Linked DNA regions of Mus musculus. The protein of the gene in region 1 binds, or shares a complex with, the protein of each later gene. Links are inferred from orthologs where the notes say so. Each region holds a gene or a part of one and is shown on either strand. Other genes may lie near its edges. The genes, in order: Polr2e, Polr1c and Taf1c.

Region 1 (3,749 bases):
CCTGCTGCACCACAATCAGCGCCCGTGTGATGTTTTCCTCCTGCATGCGCTGGCAGTATACCTTGATGGTCTTGATGCCCACCTTGGGCTCCTCTGCGGGCACACAAGCACCACCCTCACACTCACTACTGGAGCCTGTGGTCTTAGTTTCTCTGCTTGCAAGGGAAGACTAGAACATCAAGGCAGCCATGATGGGGCTGCCAGGGGGCTCAGCTATCACTGCAGAAGCTGCAGGGTATGCAGGAACTGCGGCCCCCCTGGAACGGGGGTGGGGGCTCTCAGCAGCTCTGGGGTTTGGGGGATATGGTACTGTCAGCTTAGACAGCCTCAAGGAGAAACTGACTGACCAAGAGATGGACCCTGTGTCTACATGAGGCTAGCCTTGTCTCCTCAGGCAGAGCGCAGGAGCAGACCCAGGCCACCTAGTTTGCAAATTGCTGGATAAACACAGGTATATTTACATTATGACTCATAATAGTAGCAAAATTAGTTATGAATTAGCAATGAAGATTTTATGGTTGGAGGTCACAATGTGAAGTGTACTAAGGGGTCCCAGCATCAGGAAGGCTGAGAACCAATGCCCTCCATAGTTGTCCCGGAAGTCATTGTATAGACCAGGCTGGCCTCGACTGCCTGCCTCTGCCTCTCAAACACTGGGCTTACAGGCATATGCTACCATGCCCATCCCCGCACCCCCCAATTCTCACACTAAAAACCAGGTCCCGGGGCCACAAAGCATTAGGTATTAAAAGAGGCAAGCTGTCTGGGGAGACTGAATGTAGCTGCACAGGGAGGTCCTGGGCTCCCCAATAGCCTTCACTCCCACAAGACACCTGCGCTGCTGGCAGAAGCTGTAGAATACAGCACACAGGGGGTGTGGGGGTGGCATAGCTGGCCCTGGGACTCCCAGGCAGAAGCTATAGAATACAGCATATAGGAGCCAGGGGGTGGAGGGCTGAGAGCTGGTTCTGGGGCTTATGGGATGAAAACGACACCAGCAAAAGGGAGGCTTCCCAGGGGAGACAGGGACAAAAGCAGGCAGCTGCCACAATCTTACAGGCAGCGTTAGGCCAGAGTGGGACATGCATTCACTGGCACCTGAGCCAGGGCCTGGAGGAGACCACTCCTGCCAGCCCAAGGGCCTCACCTGGGAAGAACACAAACATCTGGTCTGTGGGGTCATCGTTGTGGGCCACCAGCACCGTGAGGTCTGTGCGCCTTGGCCGTCCTTCGCTGGGCTTGTCCCCAAACTGCGCCTTGAATTCCTCAAGTGTCTGGTCCAGTTCATCCTGGGTCACCAGGTAGCCACGGTCATGACACAGCTGCAGAGACAAGAGGCAAAGAGGCAGTCAGCCTGAGCACTTAGCTCGCAGACCTGACCCTGAATGGCCGAGGCTGGGGACTAACACTGAACTGATCCAGCAGTACCCAAACTCTGTATAGGCTCAGACCACAGCGGCCCGGCCAAGCCTCTCCTCCCCCCAACCTCAGTGGAGCAGGCTGGGATTAATCCCCTGGCAACTGTAGGCAACCTTCTGAATACAGGCACCTTCCTGTCCCCAGTCTTGAGTGTTCCTGATGAGGGAGACTAGAGCATCATCCAGGATCAGGGCTGAGGAACAGGCATGAGGTGGCCCTGGGCTCCACCAACACAGCATAAGTCAAAACTATGCATACCTCTTTATCTAATAATGGTGTCTCATGTGTTCAACTCAAAACAACCAAGAATTTTTTCTTTTATTCCCTTTTTCTTTTTCAAGACAGGGTTTCTCTGCGTGACTTTGTCTATTCTGGAAATCACTATGTAGATGAGGCTGACTTCTAATTTAAAGAGATTCGCTTGCTTCTGCCTCCAGAGTGCTGGGATTAAAGGCGTGTACCATCATACCGGCTTGTTCTGTTTTTAAAAATACTGTTTTTTCATCCTATGTGTGTCTGGAGTCCCCAGAGATCAGGACAGGGCGTCAGATCCCCTGGAACTGGGGTTACAGATGGTTGATAGCTTTCGTGTGGGCGGCTACCTAGCTCGCATAAAACCAAGTGTGACCACGCAGCAGCCCCCTCTCCCGAAACGGAGCCCACCCAGGCCTTTTCCCCTGAGGCAGAGTTAGGAGGTGGAAGCAGTAGGATTTCTAAGAGTTGAAGCCAGCGTGGGTGGGCTCCACACTTTAAACGGGGATGCATTCCAATCCAGGAGGATTGGCCCCTGCGGGAGGCGGGCCTCGGCGGACAACCCGCAGTTAGTCCGCAACTGAACGCTCGCTCGCATAAAGCTCCTCACGCTTGATCACCTGCATGATCGTCTTGCGGATCTTCCACAGCCGGTAGGTCTCCTCCTCGTCGTCCATGCTGTCGCGCTTCCCAAACAACTGTGCACGCGCGCTCGTGGAGCTGCCAGCACGGAGCCTGCGCCGGACGCACAAAATGCCCCCCGCCCCCCGGCAGTGCGCCTGCGCCAAGGGCTGGGAAGGCCCCCGCCCAGGTTCGTGCTGTCTAAGGTGAACGCCGGAATAAACCTACTTTCCACGACAGGCTGCGCGTTGGGCAGCCCCAGCCTTCACCGGGGCGGTGTCGCGCGTCGGGAAGATCTCGCGATACTTGACCTGATAACAGTTTTATTTCCCTCCCTTAGGCGTCTCCCGGGCTGTAGTCCACGCCTTTAATCCCCGTCCTCGGCAAGCAGATCTGTGAGTTCGAGGCCAGCCTGCTCTATAGCCAGGTCTACAGAGAAAACCCTGTCTCGAAAGAAAGCAAGAGACCAGTGATGAACAGCCAGGTTCATGTGCCTCAATTTCCCTTTTTATACAAGTTTTTATTAGTGTATCTGCACTTTACATGAGAAATCGGATGCAAGCACCCACATGAGGTGGCCCCCAGCCATTTGTAACTCCAGCTCCAGAGAGTCTGATGCCTCTGGCCTCCAAGGGCCACACTTACAGGTCTATACCCACATGCAGACACACAGATAAACATAGTTAAACGACTAAAAATCTAAAATGAAAACAATCGATGTGCGGGCATACACACAATGAACAAACAAGTGTGTATATGGTGGGCTAACTCGTGAAAAGTTTGAGAAGGTGGTGAGAAAATGAATCCTAGGGAAAGGGATTCCAGGGCTAAACCCTTCCAACTATACAATGGGAGTTCACAGGAACGCCCCTTTCTCCTTTTCTTTCTTTCTTATTTGTTTATTTATTTATTTATTTATTTATTACATGAAAGTACACTGTAGCTGTCTTCAGACACTCCAGAAGAGGGAGTCAGATCTCATTATGGGTGGTTATGAGCCACCATGTGGTTGCTGGGATTTGAACTTCGGACCTTCAGAAAAGCAGTCGGGTGCTCTTACCCACTGAGCCATCTCACCAGCCCTCTCCTTTTCTTTGGGGGAGTGTGCTGACTTGAAATTTGGTATAGAGACCAGGTCTCAACAGCGCAGAGAATGGCCTGCCTCTGCCTCTCAGTGTTGGGATTAAAGGCGTGTGCCACCAAGACTGGCAAGGTCTGTCCTTGGAAGTCCAGATGCCTCCATTCTGTCCTGATGTGCGTCTGACAGCTCATCTACAGATCATCACCAGTTCCTGCCTGAGAACTTAGGCTGATCCCAACTGGGAAAGACAAGTTTTTGCCAAGTACACTGAGCCCACCATCTACCCTGTAGACCAAGGGGCTTAGGCTGCTACAGTTGGCCAAAGAAGCCATGAGTGTGCAAAGGAAGGGGACATGGGCAAAGACGTTTCTTGGAG
Region 2 (3,749 bases), on another chromosome or scaffold:
CCATGCATTCCAGGTCAGTTCTGCCTAACTCATAATCCCAAGCTCTCAGCCTCACCTTGGTTCCGATATTCAAAGAGACGAGGATCAGCGAGGATGGGGATGAGCCCCAGGCGGTGAGCAAGGATCTCATCCTGGACTATGGACGTGTTGTTATACACCAAGACCTTCTCCACGGCCATTGTCGGCACCTGCCCAAGGAGGCAAAGCAGACAACTGACCTCCACCCATCCCCCTGCCTGGAAAAGGAAGAGGCAGCACTTTTTCATTTTGCCCTTCAGATTCTTTTTTTTTTTTTTGGTTTTTTGAGACAGGGTTTCTCTGTATAGCCCTGGCTGGCCTGGAACTCAGAGATCCACCTGCCTCTGCCTCCCGAGTGCTGGGGTGCTGGGACTAAAGGCGTGTGGCTCAGATTCTTGATACAATGTTTACTATGTAGCCCAGACTGTCATAGGTGTGAACCACCCTACCTGCCCCAGAGGGATGGCTTTGAGAAAAGCGTCTACAAATTGATACAATTTCTACCCTCCAGCCCACGTCCTCTAATACCTCAGCTAACAGGATTCTCCGGAAAGCATTGGCGATGGCAGCATCAATCCCCACCATGTCGAACTCCAGCGTGTCTTCATCCATTTGCACCACGTCCACACGGAAATTCTAGAAGGAGGGAAGCTCCTGCATGACTCCTGCCTGGCTCCTACCCTGCACTATCCCCTCACCCTAAAGTCATGGTGCTCAGTAGACATTTTGTCTCCAGTCCTGTTCTTGGGGGCAAGGCTGTGTGTTTCTTGTTTTTTAGGTTTTTCCAAGGCCAGGTTTCTCCATGTAGTCCTGGCTGTCCTGGAACTCTGTAGACCAGGCTGGCCTCAAACTCAAAAGATCCACCTACCTCTGCCTACCAAGTACTGGGATTAAAGGTGTGCGCCACTATGCCCAATCTTCCCAGATTTTCCACAAACCACCCAGAGAAGTTACTATACAAAAAGCAGAACTTCCCACACTACTTAGACCGTTTGATACTTGCATGTCTGTTGTCGTTATTTTTTAATACCTACTTTTCTCAACTACATTCCCTTGGATTTTGAACACCAATTTCCTTATCTGCTCTTCTTTCTAAATTTCCCCTTCCACCCACACAGTAAACGTTCCTGTCTCCTAGGTTCTAATCCCCTGGCTGACCTCCACCATGCTCCTGGCTCAAGCAAGCACATAGACTTCACAAGCAGGCACCTGAGTGTACCCTCATTCTTGTTCTCCTGCTTGGCAAACGACACAGCCAGCAACAGTTCCCCAGTGCCACTGGAGAAATGGCTCAGCTATTAAGAGCACTTAACTGCCCTTGCAGAAGAACTGGGTTTGGTTCCCAGCACCTGGTGGGACCTAACATTCTCCTCACACTGCAGGGATCACTAACACACAGTGGTGCACAAATACACATGCAGGCAAACACGCATATCAAGAAAGTTTTAGGGTCCTCAAGTTACAAAGTCCTTTCTCTCACACACTGCCTCCCCAGAGCACTGGTGCAAATCGTCTAGTTCTCCCTGCCTTACTCCGTTAGTACTGTCTGGAGTTCATCTATGCCCCCAATTTCAGCCTGCATACACTAGCTGGCAGATTCACCAGAATTCATTCCCTCCTGGCTATCAAGATTGCAAAATGTTATCAGTCTACTCAAAAATTCTAAATTGGGCGTGGTGGCTCATGCCTTTAATCCCAGTGCATGGGAGGCAGAGACAGAAGCAGGTAGATGGCTGAGTTCAAGTCCAGCCTGGACTATAGAGAGAGTGCCAGGGCTAAACAGAAACAGTTTCAAAGTGAATTTTAAAAAAATCATATATAATGAAGCTCCAATCAGGCCTTCACTACTCAACTTTTATTCATAGTTCAAAGCTTAATTCAAATGCCATTCCCTTCACTGACCTTTAACTACGTCCCTTCAGTTAGCTGGATTCAGTGCATCAATGATTCCTGACCATATCCCAGCCATCTTCACCGCTATCTTACTATTCTGGAATAACTTGTCTGTGTGGTCCATTATCCCACCGAGAGCAACCACCGTGTCTGACCCGTCCATGGAGCTCAAGCGTGTTGTATGGAAACAGCGACCCCCACCCCAACCTGCGAGGTCTGGCCCCTCGGGCCGACTGGGCACCTTCAGCTCTACCCACCTTCTCGAAGCGGTTCTGGTCCCAGGCATCATCATAACCGGCGTAGTTACCGGGAAAGTCCGTGGTGTGGACCTAGAGCCAACAGAAAGGGCAGTGTGGCCAGCCTTCACACCAGGCCTCTACTTCCCCGTGCCGCCCTCATCCTTCCCGCGCCCCGATCTCTTACATTGCGAACCCCAAACTCTCCGAGAACCACGCGAGTCCGCATCTCCTCCACCGCCTGAGCCGCCGCCATCTTCCGCCACTCGCTGTAAAAGGAGGCGAGTCCGCGCCTGCGTCTCCGCAGCAACGCTCGGGCTCCCGCAATCTTGAATGTCGCGAGATCTTGCCCCGCCTCTGTCCACGTCCTTCACTTCCGGACGTCAAGTGGGGCCAAACATCCGGGTTTCTCCCTTCGGCGTCCCGGCGGATCCCCACCTTGCCCGGGCGGTCGCCCCTCTGAACCTCTCCCTCCCTCGGACCCGGGTCGCACGCTCTTCCCACGCGCGCGTGCTCCAGCGACGGGAAGCCTCGAGGGACATGGCGACTCCGGCGGCGCCGGCCAGCGGCGTCCGAAATGGTGCTGGCCCGGAATGGGGAGGCTTCGAAGAAAACATCCAGGTATGGAGCGCGCCTGCTGCCAGCAGCCCCGGGCTGGCGGCGTCCGGACGGTGGCTGCTGTTCTCTCTCGCGGGGCCTAGAGGTCGGCTCCGCTGAAACGCAGCCTGTCCCCTTTGAGTCTTCCCGGGGAAGGGTGTAGCTCTTGTGCTGGCGTGAAAGGGACAAACTAGGGCTCCCGCGGGCCTCGGCTCTCTGTGGGGGCTGGAGGCTAGGATCCACTGGCACCCCCTAAAAATAGGCTTGTTTGAGAATTGGGAATGGCAGATGGGCTCTTTTGCAACTCTTTGGAGCTTTGAGGTGGAAAGTAGGAAAACAACGTGGATTGAAAATAAATAGTAGGGTTTCCAGGACCACAAAAGTGACGCGACCAAGAGTTGCCACCACTGAAAGAGTGGCAGTTCCAAGCCATGTCCTCGGCAGTGGAAGATCAAAGCCTCAAGTTGTCAGCTGAGCGGAGAACGGGGAGGATGCAATGGAAGGGCCCCTCACTCTCCGAGCCGTTGTCTTCACAGGGTGGGGGTTCGGCTGTGATTGATATGGAGAACATGGACGATACCTCAGGCTCCAGCTTCGAGGACATGGGTGAGCTGCACCAGCGCCTGCGGGAGGAAGAAGTAGATGCTGATGCAGCTGCTGCAGAAGAAGAGGATGGGGAGTTTCTTGGCATGAAAGGCTTTAAAGGACAACTGAGCCGGCAGGTAGCAGATCAGGTAAGCCAATGGGGAAAAAAAAAAGGACCTATGCATGTCCTAAATTGATCGAGGTTTTCCACTTAGACCCACACGTAAATCTCGCCGAGACTGAATAACAATCTAGAGCCAAGAGTCTCATCATACCCATTTCCCTTCAGATGTGGCAGGCAGGGAAGAGACAGGCTTCCAGGGCCTTCAGCTTGTATGCCAACATTGACATCCTCAGACCCTACTTTGATGTGGAGCCTGCCCAGGTCCGAAGCAGGTGAGGCGCCTTCTCTGAGACATC
Region 3 (2,515 bases), on another chromosome or scaffold:
CATGGAAGTTCCCTCTCCTGGAGAAAGGACAGAGAGCTAGGCACACCAGTCCCAGCACTAGCATGTCCCCACGAGCCCCCACCCGGCCCCCTTACCCCCACCTGCCTGGCTGACCTGTTATATGAAGCAGCTGCAGCTGCCCACCCTGGCCCCCCAGTAGCAGGGGCCGTGGATGGCCAGGGCTAGCTGGGGGTAGCAGGCGGGCAAGCAGGGGAGCAGATGGCAAGCCATGGTCCCACTTAAGCATGGGCACCAGGGGGAGGCGCTCATCCATCAGGTAGATCGAGAACTGAGGAAGAAGAGAAAGGTGAGACTAGTGGATACCTGGTACCAGCCTCCAATAACCCTCTCCAGGCCACACAGCCTGCAGGAGGTGCCCAACACCCAGAGGACAGACGGCACCCCCACCAGCCTTCAAGTCCCGCCCAACTTGGCCTACCCAACCTAAAACATGTATTTTCTGGGCTGGGTTCTCAGAAGTCCCTGACATCCATCCCTACACTCCCAACAGTAGACACTTGCACCAACTGGGGTCCTGAGCCAGAGTCAACCTCTGCTGCCTCCCAGCTCCTGATCTAGGTTTGCAGATGACCCATTCCACCTGCCTCTAGGGAGACCACCTGCACGGGGACCCATCATTCCTGGGTTCCTGTGGCTGTGCCTCAGGCCTGCTGGCCGAAGCTCTGGTGAAGCCTGGATCAGAGCCCAAGGAGAAAGAAGGCTGCCGCTCACCTGGGTGCAGATGAGATGCAGAGATGGAGGGGTCTGACCTGGCTGCCCTAGGTACTGGGCAAGCAGCACCCGCTCTCCTTTCTGGCAGGCAGCCTCTGCTCCAGCGCGGAACAGCAGCAGCCCACAGCCCGGTGGGCCCTAGACGAAGGACAGCATGCTCAGCCTGAGTCTTCAGGCTGGAGATGGGCCTCCCGCCTCCTGCTTCTCCTCACCCTCTCAACCGATACCTGAATGTCAACCATTTTCACACCCGTGCGGTCCCCCACAGTCAGCACCCGGGGGTGGGCAGTGAAGTCTGCCCAGCGCCAGGGAGACGGATCACGGAAGGCAAGCGTCTCGGTGTCCTTGTAGATCGTCTGCAGCCTTGAGGAGGAAGGCAGGCCATGAGTGTGGGCCTGGTGGGGGCTGGGGGCGCAAGGGTGTTGAGGGGCTGGGCTAGAGGGAAGGGAGACTAGGGCCATGGAGCGGAAGGCCGCGGTTCTGCTTTAGAACGGAAGGTTTGGGGAAGAGTAGTTACCCAGCTTGTGGGGTCCACAGACAAACAGCTCCGGAACGGCTGCAGATGGCCAGCTCTCCTGACAGGTGAGGGCTACAGAGCACAGGGTGCTGCATTATCAGCCAGCAATGCAGCCCTTCTCCCAGACCCTTGTCCGCACCGGGAAGCCCACATCCTTTACCTGAGGCTAATACCAGTGGCCCCTTTCTCCACCTGCATCACCTGCAGGAGTGCTGGTGGCCCCTGCTTATCAATCTTCCACGTGGCACAGTGATAGTCAGAGCGGACGGCCAGAAGCGCTGGGGGGGACAGGGAGGTCAGGCCTGCGGAGTGTGTGTGTAGGAGGGTGATGGTTGCACAAGGAAGAGGGAGTGAAGAAATCTTACTTTCTCCCTGGACGGTGCTGGTCACCACCTGCCGTACAGGTCCCCGCAGCTGGACGTGCCCAGGGTTCTCAAGGATCCGGGGGTTGCCACCTGAAGTCACACTGACCTCCTGGAAATCTGAGCCCCTGATTAAGGACTGGGGGTAGATTCTGGTTGCCCCGGCTCACTCTTTTCCTGGCCCACCCTGTGGATGGTGTCAGCATCCCCACCAAGTGAGAAAGGATACACAGCTTGTCCAAGGCACCTCCACTAGGGTAGACCAGCTGTCCGGCCCGCGCTGTCCTTCCGGGCAGCCAGGCCAACGCGCCCCCGGTGAAGGCCTCATCCATCAGCAGCTGCTCCCAGCGCATGGCCAGCTCTTCATGCAGTAGCTTCCCCATGAGTAGTGACACTGACCTGCTCAGGACAGGACCCCCAACGATGGAGAAGCGACGCAGCCGGCGGCTGAGGGAAGCCCAGGGACACCTAGGGACAGAGCAGCAGAGGATAACACTGGGACAGTGAAGGACACGCAGAGAACCTCTTCCTTAGCTGCCTAGAATATACCCTTCCCTGTTCCTGGACCCCAAACCTTGAATATCTCGGTGCCTCCTAGCAAGTGCCTCGCAGATGTTCCCAGTCAAGGCAACCATAGACTTCTGGGGGTTGTGTGGTAGCTCGGAAACTGACTCTTCCCTTGGAACAAGTAGCCATCCTGTTGCTGCTTGAGTCAGGTCAAACAGAGGGATGGAAGTGGACGAGAGAGCCCTGTCAACACTCCGAACACCTGGATGTAGCCACGCCTAAGGTTTTTTTTTTTTTTTTTTTTTTTTTTTTACTCAAAGTGATTTTATTGCTTGTGCACACAACAGCGTTTATGCCACTAGAGCAGAGGCTGTGGATGACTCATATTTCCAATTGG

What was found.
Region 2: Polr2e (region 1) and Polr1c share a complex: the UniProt entries of both Homo sapiens proteins name them as parts of the pol I pre-initiation complex. The link is inferred for Mus musculus from reciprocal best matches to the Homo sapiens genes POLR2E and POLR1C.
Region 3: Polr2e (region 1) and Taf1c share a complex: the UniProt entries of both Homo sapiens proteins name them as parts of the pol I pre-initiation complex. The link is inferred for Mus musculus from reciprocal best matches to the Homo sapiens genes POLR2E and TAF1C.

Annotation. Positions count from the first base shown.
Region 1 is NC_000076.6:80,037,292-80,041,040, forward strand, and holds the start of Polr2e (DNA-directed RNA polymerases I, II, and III subunit RPABC1), read right to left. Parts: upstream 2,369-3,749; 5' UTR 2,349-2,368; coding exon 2,292-2,348; intron 1,323-2,291; coding exon 1,148-1,322; intron 94-1,147; coding exon 1-93. UniProt on the Homo sapiens protein: DNA-dependent RNA polymerase catalyzes the transcription of DNA into RNA using the four ribonucleoside triphosphates as substrates.
Region 2 is NC_000083.6:46,245,561-46,249,309, forward strand, and holds the start of Polr1c (DNA-directed RNA polymerases I and III subunit RPAC1), read right to left. Parts: upstream 2,486-3,749; 5' UTR 2,404-2,485; coding exon 2,335-2,403; intron 2,241-2,334; coding exon 2,169-2,240; intron 655-2,168; coding exon 547-654; intron 189-546; coding exon 56-188; intron 1-55. Other genes in the region: protein YIPF3, read left to right, coding at 2,688-2,768, 3,281-3,478, 3,619-3,725. UniProt on the Homo sapiens protein: DNA-dependent RNA polymerase catalyzes the transcription of DNA into RNA using the four ribonucleoside triphosphates as substrates.
Region 3 is NC_000074.6:119,599,702-119,602,216, forward strand, and holds part of Taf1c (TATA box-binding protein-associated factor RNA polymerase I subunit C), read right to left. Parts: exon of another isoform or gene 2,186-2,515; intron 2,080-2,185; coding exon 1,841-2,079; intron 1,732-1,840; coding exon 1,615-1,731; intron 1,528-1,614; coding exon 1,410-1,527; intron 1,322-1,409; coding exon 1,250-1,321; intron 1,096-1,249; coding exon 960-1,095; intron 871-959; coding exon 733-870; intron 290-732; coding exon 115-289; intron 18-114; coding exon 1-17. UniProt on the Homo sapiens protein: Component of the transcription factor SL1/TIF-IB complex, which is involved in the assembly of the PIC (pre-initiation complex) during RNA polymerase I-dependent transcription.